7 linked regions of the Ovis aries genome follow. The protein of the gene in region 2 interacts with the protein of the main gene of each other region in a biochemical or structural test. Links are inferred from orthologs where the notes say so. Each region holds a gene or a part of one and is shown on either strand. Other genes may lie near its edges.

Region 1 (4,154 bases), on a different chromosome or scaffold from region 2:
CAGAACAGGAGTTACTTTCCAAAGTAGGGGTGCCATCAGCCTCGGCGGCCCCTGCTATGAAGTGATTTTTCTAGCCAATGGCCTCTGTACCTCATCCTCTAGTTTCTTGCACCTCATCCTGTCTGCCAACGATAAGCTCCTCCCCTTATGTACCCATGGGTCCTGGTCTAAGAGCAAATCAAGAACAAAGTCCAGGGCTACTCCCTACCTAGTCAGATGGACTTACTCCCTTTAGAGTTCAATTTGATAGTGATACAGACTGGGCAGTCCTTTCATGAAAGAGTGAGCAGGTCCCAGCAAAGAAAAAGCAAGGAAAGAGAGAATATACCAGGTTACAGAGATCTGAATATGAGCCTACTTTTGCCCTCTCTAGCTATGGAACCTTAGACAAGTCACTGCCTTAGCCTTAGTTTACTTACATGTAAAACTGAATACTGTAGCTTGCTTAGTAGGGCCGTTATGAAAATTGAGTAAAGAAAGCAGATATGAAAGTTAAAAACTACTAAATCAGTGTGCACTTACTATGCACCAGACACTAAGCATTCTAATTTACTTCATTATAGATTACCATCACAGTAATCTATGACATAGGTCCTGTTACTAAACCTGTTTTACAGATGAAGAGCCAAGAGTTTAAGTAACTCACTCAAGATCACACAATCAGGAAGAGATTGAGCCAAGATCTGAATCCAGGATATGTGACTCTAGAGCAGAGTGCCTCAGCTTTGGCACTGTTGACATTTTGGGCCAGATACTGCTTTTGTTGTGGAGGCTGTTCAGTGCACTGTAATATGTTTAATAGTATTCCTGGTGTCTACCTATTAGGGGCCAGTAGTACTCCACACCCCAAAAGTGACAACCAAGAATGTGTCCAGACATTGTCGAATGCCCCCTGGGGGACAAAACCACTGCCAGTTAGGAACCATTTCTTTAGAACTTGGCACAGGACTAAATACTCAATGCATCTGCTATCCCTTGTTCTTGTCTCCCAGTTCAAACACCTCATTCACAGAGCCACTGTTATGCACCTTCTGTAGAATTCATTCTATCTACTTATATAACTGCTAAGGAAGATAAGACCTGACCTCACGTTCCACTCATACCCTGGAGCTCTCACACACTCTCTGTCACCACAGCTTGGAGGGACACACCAAGAGGAGCTTGGGCAGATGACCTTGAGTAGTCTCCTGCTTTGTGACTGGCCATTCTCTTTTTCTCTGAAGCCAACCATTTTCAGTGGGTCCACGTTCAGAGTGGAATGAGTAGTCACACCAAGGCTGCTTCATGATGAGGTGAAGTGAAAGTCACTCAGTCATGTCCAACTCTTTGCGACCCCATCGACTATACAGTCCATGAAATTCTCCAGGACACAGTGCTGGAGTAGGCAGCCTTTCCCTTCTCCAGGGGATCTTCCAAACCCAGGGATGGAACCCAGACCTCCCACACTGCAGGTAGATTCTTTACCGGCTGAGCCACATGATGAGGGATGTCTGGTTAACAGGTGAGGGAGATTCTGCCCCTTGCAGGGAAACTCAGGTTCCATCAGGAGTCCTGATGGCAAAGAGTGACGACTTTCTTGCTGAATCCCTGAACTCTGCAAAACTTCGCACACTCATATAGTTCCATAGATTGCTTCTAGGTCTTTGGGTCCCCAGAACTCCCTTTGCTTCCTATGCAGAGACTTCAGGAAAATTCCTTTCGCAATCCAAGACACCCATCTGTAACTCTATTCAGTCTCTTAATTCTACAGACCAACCAGTACCTCTCCACCCCACCGTTCCACCCTTGCTAAATCTTGTTCTCAAGTCTCCTAAGAATCCCAGCCTTGGGGGCTCTTCATTGCAACCCCCACCAACTCCTCCCTCATGCGTACCAGAATCCCCCAGACAAAGATCCTTTCATCTCTTTCCAAGTCGCTGCAGCCTTCAGCCCTGTATCGCAGTTAAACGCCCCATCCCACACCTCAGATCTGTGCTCTCCCTCAGTCTGAGCCCCCACCCTCTGGGTGCCATCAGGGACCCTGCCCCCCTTCACACCCCCACCCCCAAACCTTGCTCCTTCCTCTTTTCCCCACCCATGTCATGTGTCGCTTCAAACCTCAGGCAAGTGTCTTCTTCCTGCTTAAGAGATCTTGCTTCTCACTGATCCCGTCAAGAATTCAGCCCGTCGATCTTCCTCAGATTCCACTCGGGGAAAAAACGCTTCCTCCTCGGCAATTAGACTAGCCCCGGGCTCTGCTCCCTCTGATCTCAGATCTCACCCCGCTCAAAGCCTACTGCCCCCAGACTCTCTCAAATCACCTGAGATTCTGCACCCCGAATCTCATCGAGGCTCCCCAGTCCCTTCATACTGCCGAGATTCTGCACCCCTGATCCCTCCAGAGCCCTTGGGTCCCCTCCCATCTCTCAGATGCTGCACCCGTCTCCCCTCAGGGCCCCACATTACCTCATACCTCCCGAGATGCTGCACCGCGAATCTCGGAGCCCCTCGCTCCCCTCCTGGGCTGCATCTCCTCCGAGGCCCTCAGCCCCCTCGAGTTCGCCCCGAACCTGCATCTAGCAACCCACCCCCGGCGCCCCTCCCCACATACACCCACCACGGTCCTGCCCCTCAGATCCGGTCCCCCAGGCTCTGCCATTCTGGCGTGGACCGACCGCTGCACGCCGTCACAGCCCACCGTCGCGCCGCTCGGCCACCGCCCGCGACTCCGGCCGCGGTCCCGCATCCCCCACCCTCCATCCCGCCCCCTACCTGACCGCCCGCGGCTCCGACGCGTCCGCCGCTGCCAGCCCACCGGCCCACCGCCCTCTGCGCACGCGCCAACGTTAGCCCTTTTTGCGGGCGCCAATTCGTAGAGCTGCCTGTCCGTCACTGCGCCCCGCCCACCCCAAGGCATGCTGGGGGTTGTAGGCGGGCGGACCCGAGCTCGCGGCCCAACGACCAGGTAGCGGTGAGCTAATCAGCCGCAAGGAGCTAGGTGTCTTGAGGACACGCATTTCAGCTTTCTGTCCCCGTTGTACGGTTGAAGAAACCGAGGCCCAAGTTCACTCAGAAAGTCGGGAGCTAAACCGGAACTCGTGTGTCTGAGTGCAGTCTGTGTCAACCCCTTCGCTAAACCGAAGCTGCCAGGAGTGGTCCTCAACCAAGCCTTGGCATCTCTCAGAAAGACCTCTCTCCACCTCAGCTTTGCCATCTGAGAAATGGGCCAAGGAAAGACTACAACGTTCACACATTCACTCTGGGGCAAGCACAGAACCTGGCTGCGCTTAGAACCATAGTGCTTCTGGGCTCTTCTCCCAGTGACACAGTGCAGCCTAGAGATAAGCTTATCTGATGAGCAAATTGCCTTTATGAAGGATTCCTACTCCTGCTCAGCTGGGAGGCCGACAGGGGAAGTAGAGGTAGGAACACTCTCTGCAATCTATCCCTGCAGATTGAAGCTTCCCAGGAGCCTAAACCCAAGTCTAGTTTTTGGGCAGCCAGAAAAGGGAAGAGTCTTCACAGGTGAGAAACAGTCTAGCCTGTTGGCTGGTGAGGACCTGTAGCCCCTGGATAGTTTGGGGTCAGCTATAATCCCCGGCAGCTCAGCGGTAAAAACTCCCCCTGCCATGCAGGAGAGACAGGTTCAATCCCTGGATTTGGAGGATCCCCTGGAGAATCCCCTGGAGAGGAAACGGCAACCCACTCCAGTATTCTAGCCTGGGAAATCTCAGGGACAGAGGAGCCTGGTAGGCTACAGTCCATGGGGTTGCAAGAGTCAGACACGACTTAGCAAGTAACCACTACTACTACCACCACAGGTTCCTGTGGGTGACTATACAGTATGGCTTAGGAATAGGAAGAGGTTGGAAGGAGGATGGGCTTGGATTTGACATCCAGGGTAGGTAAAGTGACTCTTCACAATGAGAAAGCAACAACCACAAACAATAACCTAAGTGTTGTGCTGCCGTCAAACCCTTCACATGCACAGTTCACTTAATCTTCCCAGTGACCCTGTGAGGTAAACAACTGATGCCCAGGTGATTAAAATAACACGGCCCCATACTCATAAGCATAAAGCCTAGATTGGAACCTGATTCTGAGAACCCTGCCTCTTAACCATGATTAATCTCTCTGCCCAATTCTTTATTTCTAAGTGAAAATGACATTTGCTG
Region 2 (3,942 bases):
GAAGAAAAAAAACTGTCTCTAATTTGCTTACATAAAGCAGACAATTTTATATTTGACACCTGTGCCTTTATCCCCAAATATATTCCTGGACACTAGGGTAATCCAGCAAAATATAAAAGTGCTAATGAACTAACGCAAATATTCTGCCTTAGGTCAGGCCAAAAGCTGCCCTCAGCTTGGATCAGAGAGCCCAGAAAAAGGGAGGGGGAATGAAGAGAAGGGTCCATCCAAAGCAGGCAGGGGAGATGCCAGGCTTGGGGAGAACCAGCACAGGGCTGATAGCGGAGGGCCGCTCAGGACTCCTGGGAAGCTGAGATGCGATCAAACAACCTCGCTGAAAATGAGAATCTTGCCAAGGCACCTTGCCACGTAACTCTACACATATACACTGTTTACAGTAAGCCAGAGTCTTTTCTTCATCTCCTGTGCTTAGGTCACCAAAGCATTTTATCAACTTTCCAAATTTCAGGGAAAATGACAGGACAAACTTTCTAACTAAAAGTTTTGGCTCACTACTCAGTGGAGAGACTTAAAGCCTCCTGTTCCATTTTTTTAACGATCTTTTAAGACAGACATCTTTACCTAAGCTACCATTTCAATTCCTTATTATCTTCCTGGTTTGCCACTTTAAAGTTTAATGACTGTACACTGGACAACCGGATTTATGAAAAGGAATGGAGGCTCCAAGGAATCTGCTGTAGACTAAGGCTCGTGAGGATCAGAGGATACTACTGAAGGATGATGGAGATTAAAAGTAACTTCTATCAGAGACATAAGAGGGAGAGAAAAAAGAAAAAGAGCTACTGCTTGAATTCAACTTGTGTTGACAAAAGTGTTTTTGTTTTGTTTACAGCATAAAAGAAAACAGCATGAAAAAAAATTTGAGCTTCCCGGAAATTTAAGTGGAGGTTCTCAAAAAAACACAAAGAATCCCCAAAACAGCCTAGAATAACTAATTTACATCACTTATTGACTCATTAATTTGCCTCAACTCTCTAAATCAGAAAAATCTCTTTAAATCCCATCTGAAAACATCCATCTCCATCTATTAAATTTTTCACTCTGCTAACGTGAGTTAGTTATTCCTTACGCCATGTGTGGAGAAAGCACTATTCAAAGAGAGATCCTATGTGCAACAGGTGAGAAGGCAGTAAGACAGAGATAGAAATCGTCGTGATAGAGCTGTCCGGGCAGGTATTAATAATTAAGTGGGATGACAGTCTTGGGGAGGGTCACAGATTAGTGATTAACAGGACAAATAATTTGAAATCAGATTTGGAGGTCACTAGTAACACTCATGCGGATTCTTACAAACTGCAGCAAGATACGGGGAAGGCAAGCCACAACAGCTGCATGGAGACAATGATCAGAAGTAAAAACAGAAGCAGCAAGAGAGAGAAATAATTCGGGCTTTCAAGGTCCTTTTTTCCCTTTTTATGAACACATAAGCCCTGAGGAGCGTGTAAGCTACCCTCACTGGAAGCGGACCCAATGCAACCGGAGGCCGTGCGGGCAATAGGAAGCCTGCTTTGGGGGGCGGGGGTGGGGTTTGGGTACCTCTTGGCGCTGGTGGAGAGGAGTTTGGAGTTTTTGCTCATGCTGACTTTGCTCTCCTTCTTCTTGGGGGTGTTTGCTTCTTTCTCAGTTTGCTGGTTGGAGGACGAAGACGAGGAGGAGCTGGTGCTGGCCCTCGAATCGTCATCCGACATAGCGAACCCCCCGCCCCACCCCGCAAACAGCCCCTGCAGGAGGAGGGAGACAAAACAGAAAGGCCGGTGTAGACACGGAACTCGGGCGCTGTCAGGAGGGCTCGGGCCCCGGCCGCCCCCCCGCCCTCCACGCGCTTTCCCGAATCTCCAGGCCCATCACGGCCTCTGCGAGTCGGACGCGGGCTGTTTGTCTATATTCCTGGCCCCGAGTGGGGGCCGCGGTGGGGACCGGCCGGGAGCGCGGCGCGCCGCCCCTCCGCCGCCCTCGAGGCTCCCCTCCGGGCGGGGGCCGGGCCGGCCGGCCTCGATTGGTGTGCGGCGGCCCCCGGGGGTCGCGGGGGCCGGGAACGGAGTTCGGCGGGGCGGGGAGGCCGGGGAGGGGCGAGGGAGGAAGCCGAAAGGGGGGACGGGGACGGGGAGCGGGCGCCGGTGGGTGGTGGGGAGCCGGGCGGCGGGCGGGGGCGCCGAGGCCAGGCCCCCCCCCCCCAGTCCCGGGCCGGCCCCCGGGGGCGCGGCCGGGCGGGGGTCCCAGCACTGGCAAGGGCGCCGCCGGGGTCGGGGTACGGGGCCTCCCCGGCGGAGGGGTAACAATGAGCGCGGCCGCCCTGGGGAGCTAGCCCCGCGGGCCCCCGCCTCGGGGACACGGGGCGCCCCTCCCCTCCCCCTCCACGGGCCTCGGCGGCCCCGGGAGCCCCCCGTGGCCGCGCTGACAGTTCGAGCCCCGGCAGCCCCCCCCCGCCCCCGCCGCGGGCGGCCCTCGCGCCCCACGCGGCCCGGGGTCCCCGCCCATCCCCCCGCGGGCGGGCCCGGCCCCCCGCCGTCCCCCAGCCCCGGCCCCGCGCCCGGCGGCCGCCCGGGCGGCTAGGGGCGGCCCCGAGGCCCGGCGGCGCGGCCGGGGGCCGGCGGGCGGCGCGGGGGATCCCCGTACCTCTCTTTGTGTCTGGCTGCTCCGTGCCGCCGCGGCGGCTGCTGCTGCGGCTGCGGCTGGGCCTGGCCACTCGTGTCTCTCTCTCGCCGGGAGAGAAGCGGAAGTGCAGCAGCAGCAACTATTAAACAGGCAATGGCTTCCCCCGCCACACACGCTCGCCCGCGCCCCGCCCCGCCCCGCGCAGGCCCCGCCCCGCGCAGGCCCCGCCCCCGCCCGCGCAGGCCCCGCCCCGCGCCCCTCCCCCCGCACGCGCGCCCTCCCCCCAGCGCGCACCTCAGCACCTCGGGCGCCGGGCGGGGGGCCGAGGTCTCGCGTGGCCTGGGGACCCCGCCCCCGCCCCCGCCCGCGCTGGGAGTGGGTGCGGGTGCCGAGAACTGCTCCGAGTGGGGAGGTGACCTGAGGAAGTCCTCCCGCGAGGGGCTTTTGCCAGGGAGACTCGAGGGTGGCCGACTGGTTTAAAAAAAAAAACAACAGGTGATCCGGTAGCCAGGACTTTGGACGAGAGAATGGCCCCGGGAACTGCTCCTAAAAGTGATCAGCCTAAGGGGAAATGAGAAATCCCACGACAGGCTTTCCTATGGGCTGACCTGGCTTCTCCCTCTGACGGTTTACCTGCTAGGAGCAGAAGTAGGTGCAGGCTCGCCTGTGAGGAACGGGACTTTTCTGCCCAGACACGTGCCGTTTTACAATTTTAGGTATTTCCAGTCATTTTTATAGACAGAGGTGGTGTTTTCTAAAAGTGATACAAAGAATTTCGTGACAGAAAAAACCAACCAACGTGTGACAGTCTCACGAATGTGAGAAATCAATGGGAATACACTCTGTACTACTGCATTAGACTGGATTTAGAATTTTTGGTGTCAGAATTTGGATTAAAAGTTTGGGGGACCGCTGTACATTCTTCAGCTACAATACAAACGCCATTCAAATAATCATACAATTTTTCTAAAAGTCCCTCTAATTCTGAATTGTTCATTTAGTATTCTTAACAAGATTACTTTTTTCAAGCCATCAAATTGATTATGTTTCACATTTATTCCTCATTTCAATTGAAGGAAATTGAAGAAATAGGTATGATGTTACAGGTAGGAAGTGTAGTACATTAAGCCACTGTCCAGTCAGATTTCCATGGGCCACTGAATTATCTCATCCAAATTGCCGTCCTTTCCCATGGCAGCAGTGTGGCTGCAGTTACCACAGTACAACACAATTTATAAAGCCCGAGGCGTATCCGCTAACCAGGAAAACAAGCGTTCTTACCACCCACCTAAACCCCTCCGAGCCCTCAACAGGAAACTCCAACTT
Region 3 (4,047 bases), on a different chromosome or scaffold from region 2:
GACTCACTGGAAAAGACTGATGCTAGGAAAGATTGAGGGCAGATGGAGAAGGGGGAGACAAAGGATGAGATGGCTGGATGGCACTGCAGTTTAAATGTACCTGAATTTGAGCAAGCTCTGGGAGACAGAGAAGGACAGAGGAGCCTGGTGTGCTACAGTCCATGGAGTTGCAGAGTTGGACACAACTGAGCGACTGAACCTCAACAACAACAATAGGGGAAGTAAGCCCTGATTCCAATATTTAGTTCTTAGGTTCTTCAGCTCAGGGTATTCAAGACAAGACTTAAGAATACAGTTAAAATTTCCATTTCTGCTTTCAAACTGCACCTACCACACTGGGAAATGAAAGGAGTCCCTGACAGTGAAGCCTTGTTCATCTGAAATCTATTCCAATCTTCAGAACCTGTTTCTATTCTGTAATAGATGGCGGTCTTCCAAACATATTTGTAAGTTCACGCCTGGGAAAATTCCTTTCCATCCTTCTAAGCCCAGCTTAGAAGTCATGCTCTTTCTGAAGCCTTCTTGGGTTCTCTAGGTTTGCAATAGTTACAAAGAAGCCTAGGGTCATTCCTTCTACTCTTTAATAAGAATGTTTGTCTGTCTAACCTCCCACAGAGTTCCACAAGAACAGGAACTGAGTCGCATTCACGTCATTCTTTCTCCAGAGTTCAGCCCAGTGACTGGCACAGGGCCGTAGGCGTTCAGTACGTTTTTTGTGTGACATAAATGAAAAGAGAATCGTCAAAAGCAGTCCTGCTAAACGAGTCCAGGTACAGCCCAAATTTCTCCGGGCGCCCCTGCCCGCCCTCCTGTCACTCGCTGAACCGTCTCAAAGCTCACCGTCCAAGGCCTCGTCGGGAGCCGCCGTCCCCCGGTCCTGTGCTTCCGGCTGTACCTGAGAGCCGAAGAGCTCAGTCACCAGCTCCCTCATCTGAGCCACACCGGACAACAAGCTCTGGAAAGGGTCGGTGACGCCCGGCGCCTCACAAGGCACCCGCAGCTGCTGTCGCTGCCCTTCCAGTCCGACGTACTCGCCCAACAGCTCCATAGCGACCGCTACGCTTCAGGAGCGCGCCACAGTGAGTCGCCACCGGAAACGGAAACCAGCCCGCCGCGGGCGCAGGCGCGGAGAAGGGAGAGGCCTGACTTCCGTTTGTCGGAAGTCGCTCCTCCCCCTTCCTTCGCTCCCTGTCTTTGGGATTGGTGTCTGGCACCGAGGCCCCGCCTCCTCCGGCCCCGCCCCTCGCGGACGCTTTTCCCGCCTCCGCCGGGGCCGGTCGGCGGTCCTGGTGACAGTTGAGGATGGCTGGAGCTGAGGAGCCAGCTGGGCGACAGTCGGAGTTGGAGCCCGTGGTATCGTTGGTCGATGTACTGGAGGAGGACGAGGAGCTGGAGAATGAGGCTTGCGCCGTCCTGGGCGGCAGTGACTCGGAGAAGTGCTCCTACTCGCAGGTGGGCGCGCGGCTCGGCCCTCGCCTCCGCTGAACCTCCCTTTCCCCACCGCCTTACCCTCTCTCTTCCCGCCGGCCGCGGCCGGCCCCCTGTGGTGGTCCAGCGCAGCTGTTGGTCGTAGGCTTCCCCATCCCAGGCCCAGGTGCCCTTTTACACTTAGTCTTCTGAGCCCCTTCTAACCTGTGGCCAGCAGGACGCCCCTCCTTTCTCGATTTTCCTCTGTCAGGCCCCCGACGTTTCTACGGTTTTGGCCCCAGAGCAGCTGCTCTTTCCTTCCTTCCTCGTCTCTTCTCTGTGCCCCGGCCGCTTTTCACCAAACCAACCCCGTGACCTTTCACATCCTGAGTATCTTTGTCCATACTTTTCCCATCCTCAGAGTATTTGCTGGGTACTAAACGGAAGAGTCAAATAATTAAAGGAGAGAGCTCTGGGTTTGAAAATCTCTCCGCGTAGGCTGGACTCCTGGACAGCTGGTTCCTCTGCAGTTTAGTTTGACAGGTGCTAGCTGGTTTTTTTTTTTGGCGAGAGGAAGCAAGTACCACGTCTCTCTGCAGTCGGCCCTCCAGGGGCATAGACCGGAACCCGAACAGCTGGTGGCACTGGCAAAGGAAAGGAGGGGAGGAGAGATGGCATTCGGAAGATGGTGGGAACAAGGACTGGAGGGGGTGTGACGTAGTGTTTGGTGACTCATTCTATGTTTCTAGGTTCAAAAATGGAGAAAGGTGGTAGAAGAAAACTAATGAGAGATGGTACTTGATAGGAAGAAGGTTATCTTCCAGGCAGGTGGAGTGGAACATTGCAGGATGGGGAGAGAGACATGGGGTCTTTACGTGGTGTTGCTTGAGATCACAATACCAGTTGTTATCAATGACCAGTTGAGTTTACACTGCAAAGTGGTTAGATTTTTTTTTTTTTAATACACCTGGCTTCAGAGGTATTTAATGTTGGCTGATATTTTAAAACCTTTGGTCGCCACTGGAACAACTTTTTCTCTGTTTGCCTTTTTTAAAAAAGCCTGTAAGTTATTTTTGAAACGTAGTTAGATTTTTAAAACAGACTTCCTTAAAAAATTTTTTTGTATTGTTGTAAAATATGTGGAAAAGTGCAGAAACCATGTATAAGTCTTGGGAAAGCAAAACTGAAAACACCTGCAGGTACATACCACACAGATCAAGAAATAGAACATTACCAGCATCACAGAAGCTTTCCTGGGACTCCCTTCTTCTCAGAAGATGGCAGCCATTATCAGGATTTGCTTTTCTCTCGACTTTTTATTTTGAAATGTTTAAAGTCTACAGTTAAAATGAAAAAATAATATTATGAACACCTGTGTACCTTCACATATATTCACTTTTTAATATTTTACCACATTTGTTTTATCTTTTACTTCTTCACTGTAATATACTTTGTTTTTGTTTCCTGAACCAGTTGAAAATAAATTTCAGACCATGACACTTCAACTCTAAATATGTCAGCATACATCTTAAAATCAAAGGGATTCATTTAATGCACTGGTTTTCTCTTTGGTGGAATCACAAGCATTTTCCAAAATTAAAGTATGATTATTCCTTACATAAGCTTACACACATTCTCCTGTATTTTCATGTGTTAAAATAGTTAAGCAGACCGGTTTATTCACAGCTGACTAAAAATGTTAACTTCTATCACTTTGAGAAAAAGTTATATGAAACGTGTATGAAACCTGCAACAGTGTTTTGGTATTCTATTGTATATGCTTTTTTATTAGTCTCAGTGGCTTTTACAGGAAGATCTTGACCCCAGATCATCTGATTTCAGTTATTTCTCAGATCATAGTGTGGGCATTAGGTTGCTCTGCCAGTGTTTCATCAGTTTCCGGTCTTTTTCCATTTTGGGGCTGTCTTTAGGGTTCAGTAAAGAGACAAGCACTGTATGCCTGCAGTACCTGCACTCCAGAGGGAGAAGAACCGGCAGGAATTTGCCTGGCTTGCAGTTACGAATGTCATGGAAGTCATAAACTATTTGAGCTGTACACGAAAAGGTAAACTGGTCAGAGATTGATGCTGGATGCTTTTCAAATGTTTAGATTCTTTTCCAGTTGCACTTTTTTTCTTAATCATGTTTTTGCATTCAAAGTAGTTGTGCCCTGGTAAAATTTAATGCAACTGTTTTATATAATGTAATCGGAAAGAACAGTTTTTCCAGGGGACCTTTTAAAATATAATTATGAGGCAAACTCAGACTACTCCTGCTATCCTTCCACTGTTTTATGTGTGTGTGTGAGATACAGATATTTGTCTTTATGCATGTTAATTTCTTGGAGAAGGAAATGGCAATCCACTCCAGTATTCTTATCTGGAGAATTCCATGGACAGGGGAGCCTGGTGGGCTACGGTCCGTGGGATCACAAAGAGTCAGACATGACTGGGCACACAGCACACACATGTTAATTTATAGAATTATTAAATCTTTTATTGTAATATGCTTGGGAAAATTGCGGATTGGATACATGAACAACAACCAAGTCCAATTTTTAGATCCTAGAAGCTAATTGAAAGGGAAGAGGCTATGATATGAATGTAGTCTTTAGACTTAGAAGAAAAATTAAAATTGGCT
Region 4 (3,500 bases), on a different chromosome or scaffold from region 2:
CCAGGCTCCACAAGAGAAGCCTCCCCAGTAAGAAGCCCACGCTCCGCAACTAGAGAAAAGCCCACCAAAAGTAAAATAAATTTAAAAATAAAATTATATTTTAAATACATGTCCTATAGAAATATTTTAATCATCTAAAAATTAATTTTAAATTAAAATATCTTAAATAGGTAATCCATTCAGCAATTCAGAAAAATTTTCATCTCCAAACTACTTTCTGAAGTAAAAATTTCTACAAATAAAAATTAATAAAGAATGAACCACAGAGGAGAAAGTGATCTGATAACAGAGAAAGACAATTAATTTCATATTTTTGTTTTAAACTATATAACTCTAAAAAATTTTATCTTTCTGGAAAAAATTCCGTTTAGTTGAACAAGTCATTCATTTTCTGCTTCTCAATTTGTACTAATGGCTAGTAAAGACAGAATAAACTAACTTTTGGAAGTTATATTCTCAGAACAAAAGCACTACATTAAAATACAATGTTATTATACCTATCATCAAATACATGATATCTATTGATGAAAGGGAGGAAAAATTCATGCAAACACTGAAAAACTGACACTTACTAAAGCCTTCCGGGTCTTCTTCCCACATTGTCAGTTCTTCTTCAGTTAACAGAAAATAGTGAGAGACTAATCTTCTACATATCTCTGTCAAAGTAGGATATGTGAAGAATGCCATCTTAATCTTATGAGCTTCCAGAGTTGCAGGGTTGCTATCTAGAAAAATTAAATTTCCAAGTTAATTATACAGACAAGTATTCTACCCATGCTGGATAGTGAAACAAATAAACTTAAGAATACCTTCTAAATAGCAGTATATTTTCATTTGTACTATGGACACATCTCAAAGATGCTCTTGCTTTTACTGATACCACACACACATCAGTCTTGCTTCTACCTTAGCACTATGGCTAGTCCATTTCCATCCTATATCATCACATCATATTCTGCAGTGGCTTACCTATATGTCTCTCTTTCTCTTCTACACGACATTCTCATTCATCATGATAAACATACACATGAATGAATTCCAAACAGAACTGACCCCTGAACTTTGTGAGTCCATTTACACTCAGATATTTTTCAACAGTAAATACTAAACTACAGTGTACACGGTTAGATGAATCCCCAGATGCACAGGAACAGTGAATCCATATTCACTTATAGTGGCCAGCTATAAGTTATACTCATTAACCCCTGTGCTGTTCAAGGGTCAACTGCAATATAACAGTTTAACCTATTCTAGAAGCAATAGAATCTGCCTAGAATCACTTTATATATGATCAAAAGAAAACTTTTAATTGTACAAATAAATACAGTCTACAAATGAGCTACAGAGGTTACTGAAGTACTTAATTCTTAAAAGACCTAGGCTTCAATTGATGTTCCACTGTGTTACAAAAGACAGTAGTTTACTAAATGCACTGTATGTCTTTTAAAAGCTGGTATTTATATACCAAAAGCTCTAATCCTTATCTCTATTTCATGTCCCAGCAATAGTTTATTTCTCAGACTTAAATGAACTTCAAAAAACTTACATAAAAATAGCAATTACTTCACACTAAGATTAAAACAAGGAAATGAAAAAAATAAAACTACCAGTAAAGCATTACCTTCAAAATTTTTAGATGGCTTATAAGCATAATTTTTGACAATCATCTTAATAAGATTCATGCACTGGACAATGAATCGTTCAAATGTAACACCTTCACCAACTTCTGTAAACACATAGCTTACAGAAAATTCCAGTGATCTCTGAATTAGAGGAGTAAATGAAAAGGGATGCTGATCCAAGAAGTCCAAAAGCTATAAGAAAAAAATTTTTATATATTTTCTTCAAATTCACATAGGAATATAATCATTCATAGGTACATGTAATAACTGGTAACAAACACTTAGCAAGTTTGGAACCTTGTGGGAAGTCCAGTTTCACAGGTAATATACTCCCTGGGGTATACCATACAATGTGAAATAAATCAGATTGTATCTCATCACCTGAACTTTCTCTTACTTCTACTACAAGATTCAAAATAAACTTACTTCATACTTAATTCTATATCAACCAGCAAATGTGATAACCAAAAGTACAAGAAAGGCCTTTAAAAAATAATAAAGGCAAATAATCAAAAATGTATCCTGCATCAATTGCATGTCAATGTATCAAATAGTTGATGAGAGAGATTTCCTCTATATAGAAGAATTCCAGCTAATAAATGTAAAAGGAATAATATTAATAGAAGTAGAATGCCATCATTTTGTAACCCCTATTCAAACAAAAGATCTAAGCCATGATCATCGATGGCTGCTAGAATCAAGGGAAAGGCTGTTGAAGAACTGAATAATGGATAACTCAATAAACAACTTTGAGCAATCAGACATTGTGCATCTCCTGGTGCGATGCAATAGGAAATACACAGCATCACCTGTAAAATATTCCTGTCATTGTCACCCTACTCCATTCCCTCCCATCATTAAAACAAGAAGAAAGGCCTGAATGTGATCAAGTTTCTTCTCTAACTAGAAATTTCTAAGAAATATGGGAGGAGAAGGGATTTAGAAACAAAGGAATATGTTAACACATTCTATTTGGAGGCACATATAAAATGTTCCAATTTTAAAAGCTTTAATAAAGTCATGAGATTATAAACATGAACTTCATAAATTATTACTTTTTTAATTGGCCATGCCATGTGGCATATGGGATCTTACTTCTCCAACCAAGGATTGAACCCCCATCTTCTACATTGGAAGGGATTCTTAACCACTGAACCACCAGGAAAGTTCCCTCACAAATTTCTTGTAGTTGAATAAGGATTCAATAGTGTCGATTCTTTTTTTTTAAAACATGCGAACTTTTTATTGTCGAAATGGGAACTTTTTATGGGAGAATGAGGCCTGATGTGACCACATCGTTGAGGTAACAGATCATTTCCTGTAGAGTTTTCCATGTTGTGGATTTGACTGTCTATTATTTTTTTTATAAAATAATTTTATCTGAAATATATACATATTGCCTCAGACAGTGCACCCATACAATTCTATTCAAAAGATATGTGATATTAATGATGATAAACTATCATTATGAATATACTGATTTTTTGGTATTATCTACTGTAACATCTTACCTACTTTATGCTGTGCTGCACTATCTTTTTTACCTCTGCTTTTTCCAGTGGGTTTGAGAATAATGAGACTTTGAGGAATCAAATTCTCTTTTATTAGGATGGATTTTTTTATATCCAGGTGACTTATACACTTTGACATATGGTATATATAAATTTAACCATTATATGTATTCTAAAGGCTTTAAGATACAAAGGGCTTTTTTAGCTTTCCTGTACACAGTAAGAAAATAAGTTACTTTAACACTAAATCAAAAATGTATGCTTAAAAAACATCACTTTCTTTACTAAATTCAAGTATCTATATTTCACTTGAGAAAACATAATTAAGATTAAAAAAAAAAAACTTACCACTTTAGTAAAAAGAATG
Region 5 (4,010 bases), on a different chromosome or scaffold from region 2:
CCCCACGAATTTCTAATAGAGGCTTTGAAATCACTTTTTAGTCTAATCTGGGCCATTTTGGAGCTGGTGACCTACAAAAGTGTTCCATTATCTGTCTCAAGGGGTACCTACTCTATCCTGATTTATAAATAGTCATATATTTTGTTCAAAAGAACTTCTAAGCAAGTGCGTATGTGTAATGCAGTAACAGAAGAAAAGTGATATTTAAAATTAAGAACGTTTCACAGGACCCTTAATTTAACGGAACATACTGGAGAAAGAGGCTTCGTGTTTTCACTTTTTTTTTCTTGAAAGAAGTACTTGATTTTTTTGAAGGGGCCAGAGAAGCCTTTGAGAAAAAAATCTATTAACTGGTTCCCTAGAAAAAGGCAGATCTATTTAAGAATTAGCCCTTATGATCCCACTGATCATAAGCTGAAGAACGAAACATCTTCGATGAAACTGATATTTCATCTTTCATTTAAAAGAATTAAAAATTCATGAGTCATTTAAATCAGGAAATCGGTGGAAATTTCCACATTTTGTCTTTGTGTGGATACGTGATGGTGGCGGTTGCGTGGGGGTGGGGGGTGGGATTGGGGAAATCAGGGTGATAAAAAGAAGTTGCTGCAAAGTCAGCTCTATAATCCTACGATTGGACCTTCTGGAAAGGCCCTTACATAACTACCTTACTTCTCCAATAAAACGCTGTCCGTTTCTTGCCCCTTAACAGATTTCTACACTTCCACTTTAAATATAACTGCGGATGTGAAGGACGAGAAACAACAACAGAAAACCCCTAAGGGTCCGCAAAATAATTAGGGCTGCCCCAAGAGAAATCAGAGCGCGAGACTGGAGGAGCCCCTGTTCCCTCCCACCACCACCGCGCCGGGGACACACACTTAGCCTCTCTCCCGGACTCCCCGCCCCAGCCGGCTCGCCCCTCCGCCTCATCTGTCCCGAACACGTGCTCTCCGGAACACTCACTCGGGAGCGAGCCCACCCCCCCGGGGGGGGGCCGGGCTCGGGAGCCGAACGGCCCAATCGGCGCGCGCCTTACAGCGCCGTGGCTGAGCCGCCCAATCGGCAGGGCCTCGCCGCCCGTTTCCCGGAGCCCCGCCCCCTCGCGGCCGTGCCCCACGCCCGCCGGTCTCCTCCCTCCTCCTCCTCCTCCCGTTCGCCCCTCCCCCTCCGCTCGGGAGCGGAGCCTGCGAGACGGAGAAACTGGGGCAGAAGTGAAGATGGCGGCGGCGGTGCTGGTGGTGGCGGCGGCGGCTTCTTCTCGCCAGTGACGCGCCGAGCGGGCTCATTTCCCTCCCCACCTCCCTAGTCCGGACCCCGTCCGCCGCCGGGACCACACACCGGCCCCACAGCCCGCAGCCCGTCCCCCTCCCCTCCTCAGTCGGGCCCCTCTCTCCCGACGTCCGGCTGCCGGTGGCGGCGGCAGCGGCGGCGCGCCCCGGGTCCCGGCCGCCGGCCTCGCACTCCTGCGCCCTGTCGCTGAGGGAGCGGGGTGGCGTGTTGATCCGCCCTCCTGCCCGCCCCGCCGGACCGCCGCGCCTCGGACACACGCCCGGCAGGGAGGCGGCGGCGGCGGCGGCGGCGGCCCCTGCGCATTTGCTTCTCTCATTTGGGGACCGGGAGGCGGCGGCGGCTGTGGCTGTGGGTTTTGACGAGGGGAAGGGGTTCGGGGGTGGGGGGAGCCGAGCGGGAGGGGGCCGTCCTCGAGAGGACGACGAGAAGGAAGCACCATGACGTCCATCCATTTCGTGGTTCACCCGCTGCCGGGCACCGAGGACCAGCTCAATGACAGGTAATAGGGCCGGCGGGCGGGCCGGCCGGCGGGCGGCGGGGGGAGGGGCGCCTCCCCGCCCTCCCCTCCCCCACGGGGCCGCGCCGGACCGGCGGCCGGTGGGGAGGGCGGGGGTCCTCACTGCCCCCCGGCTAGGCCCCTTCCGGGGCAAACTTCTGGTCCCAAGGACCGGGGCCGCGGGGTCGGGGGGGTGTGGGGGGAAGCGAGCTGTGGACGGGGAAGAGCACTGCACCCTCTAACGCCCCCTGGTCCCCCCGCCTCCACGGAGGAGCCGCGTTCAACTCGGTGGGGGCGGCGGGTGGGTATCCAGCTCCCGGTGCGGGGAGCTTCATCACCGCCCGGGCCAGGCCCGAGGAATCCATATTAGTCAAAGTTGAATTGAGACAGACAATGCGGATGGGGGATGGTGGAGGCTGAAAAAAAAAAAAAAGAGGGAAGCGGAGGAGCCGGGCGAGGGGCCCCGGGGTAGGCTGGGTTCGCCCGGGCTCCCGGGAGCTGTGTCCGGTGGGGTGGTCGGACCGGCGGGGGCCTGGGGCTCCTGGGGGAAGGGGAGGCGGGGCGGGGTGGGGTCGGGGGACCTGGGTGGGAGAAGCTGATTCCCTGCAGATCGCGGGTGGGGTGGCGGGAGGGAGGAAGCGCCATGATTATTGTTATTATTATTAAATTTGAGCCCCTGCAGTGAGGTTTGCCGGTCCGGGGAGGGGATGAATTTAGGCGAGGGTGGGGGGCGGGGAGGGAAGTGGATTGGGTTCCCTTTGCTCTGTTTTCTCTGGAAACGGTGCTGGCAGCTCCTGTTTCCCAGTCCCTGTGGTGCGAGCTTTTTTGTTTCCTTTTTTTATTCTAATGATAGTGTTTTCCTGAGTTGTAATTTGACAGCTGAAAACCGTGCGTAGAGTCAAAGGAAAACTCTTACGTTTGCAGTTCGCAGTGCTGCTTTTCTTAACACGCTGTAAATTTCTGGGATGGGTTTTGCTATGGGCGGAGGAGGCATTATGATTTTTTTTTTTTGGTCTTTCATAAGGAGGCTGTTTTGACTCCGGATTCCTCCCCTTCCCTCCTCCACCGTTCCCTGCCAGTTTAGGATATTGAATTGCAAGGCCGCATGCTCTCAGGGAACTGAGATAAAGCAGGAAAAGTTCCTTCACTGTTGCAAAACAGAGATTCCGAAAAGGTTGAGGGAAACCTCCATTAGGCAAGGCTGAGAATCTAGGACTCAGATCGAATGATGGGCTAAATGTTTTACAGGGTCAGAAAGTGGGGCATTTGAAGTTTCTATACCAACACTTTCGCTGCTCTCTCTTCCTCATAAATATAGAAGGCCGTCAGGGCCCACGTTTAGAAGTTAGATATGATTTTTGTTAAGTGACCGGGTGACATAAATTGCATGAAGCCCTGTTTGTCATGCACTTCCCTGAGGGAGGAGGAGGCCTAACTTCTGCTGATATACCGGCCTCTGTTTCGGGGAATCTAACTGCCTCAGGTGGGGCGGACAGCCTTTCAATCCGGGAAGCTGGAGGCTTGGTTTCTGGCATTGGGTTCGGATTTGTCTAATCTTTGCTGTTGTAGCCATATTGTATTTCACATGTTTGTAGAACTTTTGGAATACTTTCTCAAAATACTAATCATTTGGAGTGGTCACATAGTTCTTTTAAGTACGAAAATAAGTTTTAAGTCATTTATTTTATAATGCAGTCTTACTCCGATTTTATTTCATTACATATCTTTTGTTAAGACTTTTACATAAGGTTTTTTTTTGGGGGGGGGGGTAAATTTTAGAACCAGGCTAGTAGTGAGGATAGCTGTACTGTCTGTCATTCATAGAATCCAGTTGGCCGTGCTTGTGGGGGAACTTGTTACATTGCACCAGAAGAGACATACACGGTGTATTTTTTATACTAGTCCTAACTTTATATACCAGGAATCCTAACTAATTTACTCAATTGATCATGCATGCCAAAACCTATTTTGCGGTTTTGTTAGGCACTTTGAATAATTTTTGAGCATTCTTTTTTCAGCTAGTCTAGAAATTTACATGTATCCTTTTTAAAGCTACCTTTTCTTTTTTCATTCTTGGTGTAAACAAATAATCAGCTTTGACTCCTGTACTCTCAGTATACAATATTGAGACTATTTGGATCATTTTCAGTTTTCATGAGAAATAAAGACAGGTGGTTTCGAAAATGAGACTGTAAAATATGTGCATCAAGAATGTAGTAGA
Region 6 (3,500 bases), on a different chromosome or scaffold from region 2:
CTTTCCACCAGTATTTTTAACTTCTATATTGCATTCCACTGTAGGTGTAACATCAGAGAGGGCAATGGCACCCCACTTCAGTACTCTTGCCTGGAAAATCCCATGGACGGAGGAGCCTGGTAGGCTGCAGTCCATGGGATCGCTAACAGTCGGGCACGACTGAGCGACTTCACTTTCATGCATTGGAGAAGGAAATGGCAACCCACTCCAGTTTCTTGCCTGGAGAATCCCAGGGACGGCAGAGCCTGGTGGGCTGCCGTCTATGGGGTCGCACAGAGTCGGACATGACTGAAGCGACTTAGTAGCCGCAGCAGCAACAGGTGTAACATAATTTTCTTAACCAGTCTTATACTGAATATTTAAATTGAAAATATGTGCTTATGTGCTATTACATATACATACACATGGATGTAAACATATTTTTAAATACATACACTTGCAAAATTATCTCTAAGACAACCTTAGGGTAACTGTCTTCAGAATACATTACTAGAGATTTACAGGGTAAAAGGGTATATGCATCGAAACCTTTGACAAAGTACTGCCATATTGCCCTCCAAGAAAATGTCTCACATTAATAACCACACCAGCAGTGTATCCTGCCTAGGATTATCAAACATTTTCATCTTTAACAAGATGATAAGTGGAAAATGGTATTTCACTCTGCCTTATTTGCATATCTTTAATCATAATGTGAAGTGTATCAGCTCTTAATAGCTTGCCTTTTTTTCAAATTAAGGGGAAAATCCTTACCGTCTATCCAACTCTTCCTTCTTATGACATCTAAGCCACTTTATTGCATTAAAAAAAAAGCATTCTTATCCTCCTAGAAGCTGTCTCAAAATCTAAGAATCTTCAGCTGCCACGGTTCGAAAGTATCAGTTCTTCAGCGCCCAGCATTCTTTATGGTCCAACTCTCACATCTGCACATGACTACTGAAAAAATCATAGCTTTGACTATATGGACCTTTGTTAGGAAAGTGCTATCCCTGCTTTTTAATAAGTCATCTAGGTTTGTCATAGCTTTTCTTCCAAGGAGCAAGCATCTTTTAATTTTGTGGCTGGAGTTATTGTCCGCAGTAATTCTGGAGCCCAAGAAAATAAAATTTGTCACTGTTTGCACTTTTTCCCTATTTGCCATGAAGTGATGATCTTAGTTTTTTGAATGTTGAGTTTTAAACCAGCTTTTTCACTCTTCTCTTTCACCTTCATCAAAAGCTCTTTAGTTCCTCTTTGCTTTCTGCCATTACAGTGGTGTCATCTGCATATCTGCTATTGCATATCTGAGGTTGTTGATATTTCTCCCATCAATCTTGATTCCAGTCTGTGAGTCATCCAGCCCGGCATTTCGCATGATGTGACAACATACAGCTTGGCGTACTCCTTTTCCAATCTGGAACCAGTCTGTTGTTCCATGTCTGGTTCTAACTGTTTTTGTCCTGATACAGGTTTCTCAGGAGACAAGTAAGGTGGTCTGGTATTCCCAGCTTTTTAAGAATTTTCACAGTTTGCTATGATTCCCACAGCAAAGGCTTTAGCATAGTCAGTGAAACTGAAGGAGATATTTTTCTGGAATTCTTTTCCTTTTTTTCTATGATCCAATGGATGTTGGCAATTTGATCTCTGGTTCCTCTGCCTTTTCTAGATCCTACTTGTACATGTGGAAGTTCTCGATTTACATACTGTTGAAGCCTGGCCTGAAGGATTTTCAGCATTACCTTGCTAGCATGTGAAATGAGTACAACCATACAGTAGTTTGAACATTCTTTGGCATAACCTTTTTTGGGACTGGAATGAAAACTGACCTTTCCAGTCCTGTGGACACTGCTGAATTTTTCAAATTTGCTGGCATATTGGTCTCCATGATGCTCTCTAAAAATACTCATGTTTTTATTTTTTCTGTCTGTAGTGTTCTTTCCTTCAAATACTAACTCAAAGTATTATCTATAATTTCAATTCAAATCCTACTTTTTATAAATCTTAGAAAATACAACCTTTAGAACTACTCTATAATTTTCCATAATACTTTATATTAATATCACTGAAGTCACTTAGCAGTCTTATTAATCTGCACTTAGCAGTATTAGAAATAAACACTTAACATGCAAACCTAAATACATACAAGTTTCTACCTTATTTCTTTCTGTATACTCCAAGGTACCAAGTATGGCACCTTCCATATAGACTGCATTCAAAATACAGTGCAGAAACTTTATATCTACTGAGTTATTTCTCTCAAAATCTTAACAGTTACCTTATAATGTGGAATGCTAAAATAAATATTCTGAAATACAAATGTATTACCTGTTTGTTAGCAAAAATCAGGAGTAAAGCATCTCGGAGTTCTTTTTCTGTTAACAACTTTGCGAGTTCACTGTGTGCTTCACTAACTCTGTCTCTATGACTGCTATCAACAACAAATACAACAGCTATCAAAAAAAGACAAAAATATTCATTTAGTCATTTGTTTAATTTCAGTAAGTGGGCTAAATATTTTAATGTTATATTATGGTGAGTCTACCATCATTATTTTCACAGGAAGGCTGCCTGTTATAGGAGCATCTAGCAATAATTAATGATATGATCTCAAGCAGTTCACCTAACTTTTGGTCTATTTTTTTGCCATCTATAACAGGATTTACAACATTTGCACTACCAAACACATATTGCCTTGCATACAATTTAATATTTTTCTCTTAATGAATGAAAATGTACCTCTCATGATCTACCTACTGATGCTACTTCTTTGATTACTTTGATCACTCTACTTCCTTTACCAAAAGATAGTCTTTTAAAAATAAATAAGTTACCAACTTTATCTCTCCAAGGTATTCTCTTTAGGTGCCTGGCACAGCACTTTCCATAACTTTACTCAAAATACACAGCAGAAACTTCATGAGTTCAGTTCAGTTCAGTTCAGTTCAGTCGCTCAGTCGTGTCCGACTCTTTGCAACCCCATGAATCGCAGCACGCCAGGCCTCCCTGTCCATCACCATCTTCCGGAGTTCACTCAGACTCACATCCATCGAGTCCGTGATGCCATCCAGCCATCCCATCCTCAGTCGTCCCCTTCTCCTACTGCCCCCAATCCCTCCCAGCATCAGAGTCTTTTCCAATGAGTCAACTCCTTTCCAGCTATCTAATGGCAGCTAAACATCCTAGGCTTTCAACCATTCCTCATGTTCAAAATTCCATTTTTTCCCCTTAATCACTGGCTCATACTAACCTAATATCAAAAATTTCAAAGTAAAAATTATCTAGTCTTTCTTCTAGGTGGAAAACAGCTTGATATATGGAACAGAGAGTATGAATATAAGCTTTATGCTGGGGTACAGGAGGCAAAATGTACAATTCATTTATGTGAATAAATGCTAAGTGGAATGTATGTCACATAACAGTTTGGTTAAAATCAAACCACTATGGGTTCTTCTGCTAATGATAACTAATTGTGAATGGAAATAAAGGAGTGGAGCTATTGAGAGGTTATAATGGGATAAATG
Region 7 (2,728 bases), on a different chromosome or scaffold from region 2:
CGCGTAGCAGGCCCATGATCCAATCCCACAAAGGCCTGGGGCTGCCTCCCGATCCTTAGAAGCCTGTTCTGTCCAGCCCACCTATGCTTATCCCATCCCCACTGCCTGCTGGGGCCCCCACCCAGCACCTTCTCAAAGTCGATAGGGTACATCTTGAACCCAGGGAGCTTTTCAGGACTGGGCAGTGTGGCCTTGAGTTCTTCCAGACGGCTGTCATCTGCAGGGAGAAAGGGACACCATCAACGCTTTAGACCCAAGGCCAGGGTCTGAGGTAGAAACAAGGGGGGCAAAAGGTGTTTAGGGAGACAAAGGATTTGAAAAGGAAAGACATCCTGGGAGAGACGAGGGACAATGGCAAGAAACAGTGCAGGACAACAGAGTACAAACCTGAAGAAGATTGGGGCGGGAAGGGTGCAGTGTGGAATATCAAGAGAGGCAAGAGAGACTAAAGAAACGAAACAAAGACATTAGGAGAAAGTGGGGATGGACAGATAAGGATGGGAGAGCAGTAGATCTCAGGGAGAATGATGCAAAGAGGTGGGGAGACATGGAGGATACAGGGGAAAAGGGCAGGGGAAGATATACAGAGAGGTAGTTGGGAGAAGTGTGCAGATGTGGTTAAGATGGGAGGACAGAAGATACAAAAAAGTAGAGAATGGGGCATATATAGAGGGTGAGATAGGTGAGAAGACTGTATACACCCTATATATACTCTATATACACTCTGTCTGCATGTATATTACACACACACACACAAAATGTTTATACACATTTTACATGTACCTGTAATGTATGTTTTATACAAATACATGTACATGTATATGAGGGAAAAGATGAAGGAAATATGGGTGAAATGCAGAAGCAGAAAAAATATACAGAGAGGATCATGAGGGGGTAGATATCTGGGAAGAAGATGGGAGACATGGGAGAAAATAAAAACAGCCACATTCATTCATCGTGTATGGCTGCTTTTGGGCTTCAACTGCAGAGATCATTAGCTGCAGACACTACATGGGCTAAAAGAGTCAACTGCTTGGCCCTTCACCCGATAAAGAGCATGAGCTGGGGGAGAGAGATGGGCAACTGGGGTGGAAATATGAAGAAGGGGATGAGGAAAACTATGTGGAGGGTAACATCACAGAGAAGACACACACGGAAGAACATGGGGTGAGAGGATGGGAGCAGATACCAAAGGAGCAAGACCACTGGTGGAAATCACACCTTCCAGATAAACAGATCAAGAAGGAAGTCTCAGGACAGGGTTGCACAGTAGTGCCGGGGCAGAGAACTGGTGAGGAGGCTGCACTGGGCAGAGGACCAGTGGGGCAGTAACTCCTGGCAGAGGGGCCAAACATCCTCACCCACAGAGGCATTGGCGCTCTGCAGCTCCTGGTCAGAGACATGGATCTTGACTCCAGACTTGGGGGTGAACTCGGGGACCTGCACGGACTGTAGGAGCATGGCCACAGCAGCTCGGTCCTGAGAGCCTGTCAGCCCGTATGTCTGGGCGAACAGGTTGGCAGCAGCTATCACGTAGTCCAGATGAAGGGGCTGGGAGAAGGCAGGGCCCAGAAGGGTGAGCACATCTGCCCTCACCTGGGGAGTCTTGGCCTCCTTCCCTCCCACCCACTCTCCACCTGACCCTAGGAGACCCCAAGGAGGAGACTTACATTGCTGACATCAAAGGTGAGTGGGTGTGGACAGCGTTTGGGCCCAGACCAGAATGGAGCTCCTGAGCTTGTGAGCTAAAGAAGTGGAGAGATTTTTGAGGAGTAGGATCTAAAACTGGAGCCTCTCCAGCAATCCTAACTTCTCACCTGGCCCTTGGGTGTGCCCTATTCACTAGCCCTGGCTGGGCACGCATGGCAGGGGATGGAGTCAATCATGAACAACCCAGACAGTAAGGGTCCTGTGAATGGAAGTTCTGATGCCAGGGTGAACTAGGGGTGTTGCTGAAAGAACTCCTGGCACTCACTCTGTGCAAGACACAGCTTAACAAACTCTTTGAACTGTCAGGTACTATACTGAGTTAATATTAACAAACACTAAGAAATCCTCACAAGAACCCTCATGAGGTAATTATTACCACCTCTACTTTACTGACAATGAAACTGAAGTATACAGAGAAGCTATGTGACTTGCCCAAGTGCAAATGGTGCTTGGAGTTGAACCCCCGCTGATTTCCTGAGCTCTTAACTCCAAGATTTCTCCTCTATGATCGCTACAGTCCTAGGAGGTGGATGAGTCAGCCCACCCCACAGGTAAGGGAAACAAAAATGAAAGTCTCTTGCTGCAAAGAAAGGGGATGGCAAAAATAGGTCAAGTTTAATCATTTTTCTGAGACTCCCCACACCTTGGGGCATATGCCACAGCTGGACTAATCTCCAGGAGGAGCCAGAGAACTCACAGCAGGCTCCCCTTATGGAAAAAACACATTCTGCCAAATGGACCTGGCAAGTGGGCGTTACCTGATCAGGAGGGAAGTTGTGTAGCAGCTGCCGGATGTTGTTAGAGTACTGCGTGTGCCAGTGGTGGCAGGCCCAGGTCACACAGTCAGCCCAGGTCTGTGGCCGCTGCAGCACGAGACTGCGCTGCACAGCCTCCAGCACCTCCAGGGGTTGGGTGCCCGCCAGTCGCAAGGTCCGCTCCACAAACTTGGAGTCTCTATCAGGAATTGGGGGGGGGGTCAAAGGGGTAGGATTACACAGCGGCCTCAGGAGTGGGCTCC

Evidence for each region.
Region 1: the proteins of UBE2E1 (region 2) and TRIM32 form a complex in vitro, tested with the Homo sapiens proteins (2 studies listed by BioGRID). The link is inferred for Ovis aries from reciprocal best matches to the Homo sapiens genes UBE2E1 and TRIM32.
Region 3: the proteins of UBE2E1 (region 2) and UBR7 form a complex in vitro, tested with the Homo sapiens proteins (2 studies listed by BioGRID). The link is inferred for Ovis aries from reciprocal best matches to the Homo sapiens genes UBE2E1 and UBR7.
Region 4: the proteins of UBE2E1 (region 2) and IPO11 form a complex in vitro, tested with the Homo sapiens proteins (2 studies listed by BioGRID). The link is inferred for Ovis aries from reciprocal best matches to the Homo sapiens genes UBE2E1 and IPO11.
Region 5: the proteins of UBE2E1 (region 2) and UBR5 form a complex in vitro, tested with the Homo sapiens proteins (2 studies listed by BioGRID). The link is inferred for Ovis aries from reciprocal best matches to the Homo sapiens genes UBE2E1 and UBR5.
Region 6: the proteins of UBE2E1 (region 2) and TRIM23 form a complex in vitro, tested with the Homo sapiens proteins (4 studies listed by BioGRID, with this or other methods). The link is inferred for Ovis aries from reciprocal best matches to the Homo sapiens genes UBE2E1 and TRIM23.
Region 7: of the proteins of UBE2E1 (region 2) and UBA1, one has a biochemical effect on the other in vitro, tested with the Homo sapiens proteins (9 studies listed by BioGRID, with this or other methods). The link is inferred for Ovis aries from reciprocal best matches to the Homo sapiens genes UBE2E1 and UBA1.

The regions. Positions count from the first base shown.
Region 1 is NC_056055.1:7,072,622-7,076,775, forward strand, and holds the start of TRIM32 (E3 ubiquitin-protein ligase TRIM32), read right to left. Parts: upstream 2,801-4,154; 5' UTR 2,752-2,800; exon of another isoform or gene 2,597-2,751; intron 2,558-2,596; exon of another isoform or gene 2,446-2,557; intron 2,435-2,445; exon of another isoform or gene 420-2,434; intron 1-419. UniProt on the Homo sapiens protein: E3 ubiquitin ligase that plays a role in various biological processes including neural stem cell differentiation, innate immunity, inflammatory resonse and autophagy.
Region 2 is NC_056079.1:41,469,256-41,473,197, forward strand, and holds the start of UBE2E1 (ubiquitin-conjugating enzyme E2 E1), read right to left. Parts: upstream 2,801-3,942; 5' UTR 2,638-2,800; intron 1,743-2,637; 5' UTR 1,710-1,742; coding exon 1,558-1,709; intron 1-1,557. UniProt on the Homo sapiens protein: Accepts ubiquitin from the E1 complex and catalyzes its covalent attachment to other proteins. Catalyzes the covalent attachment of ISG15 to other proteins. Mediates the selective degradation of short-lived and abnormal proteins.
Region 3 is NC_056071.1:55,650,637-55,654,683, forward strand, and holds the start of UBR7 (putative E3 ubiquitin-protein ligase UBR7), read left to right. Parts: upstream 1-1,247; 5' UTR 1,248-1,302; coding exon 1,303-1,452; intron 1,453-3,338; coding exon 3,339-3,472; intron 3,473-4,047. Other genes in the region: EKC/KEOPS complex subunit GON7, read right to left, coding at 841-1,048. UniProt on the Homo sapiens protein: E3 ubiquitin-protein ligase which is a component of the N-end rule pathway. Recognizes and binds to proteins bearing specific N-terminal residues that are destabilizing according to the N-end rule, leading to their ubiquitination and subsequent degradation.
Region 4 is NC_056069.1:17,077,668-17,081,167, forward strand, and holds part of IPO11 (importin-11), read right to left. Parts: coding exon 3,482-3,500; intron 1,815-3,481; coding exon 1,622-1,814; intron 726-1,621; coding exon 573-725; intron 1-572. UniProt on the Homo sapiens protein: Functions in nuclear protein import as nuclear transport receptor. Serves as receptor for nuclear localization signals (NLS) in cargo substrates.
Region 5 is NC_056062.1:74,932,615-74,936,624, forward strand, and holds the start of UBR5 (E3 ubiquitin-protein ligase UBR5), read left to right. Parts: upstream 1-1,210; 5' UTR 1,211-1,730; coding exon 1,731-1,792; intron 1,793-4,010. UniProt on the Homo sapiens protein: E3 ubiquitin-protein ligase involved in different protein quality control pathways in the cytoplasm and nucleus. Mainly acts as a ubiquitin chain elongator that extends pre-ubiquitinated substrates.
Region 6 is NC_056069.1:14,078,188-14,081,687, reverse strand, and holds part of TRIM23 (E3 ubiquitin-protein ligase TRIM23), read right to left. Parts: intron 2,430-3,500; coding exon 2,305-2,429; intron 1-2,304.
Region 7 is NC_056080.1:57,606,877-57,609,604, forward strand, and holds part of UBA1 (ubiquitin-like modifier-activating enzyme 1), read right to left. Parts: intron 2,665-2,728; coding exon 2,469-2,664; intron 1,746-2,468; coding exon 1,671-1,745; intron 1,552-1,670; coding exon 1,362-1,551; intron 218-1,361; coding exon 129-217; intron 1-128. UniProt on the Homo sapiens protein: Catalyzes the first step in ubiquitin conjugation to mark cellular proteins for degradation through the ubiquitin-proteasome system.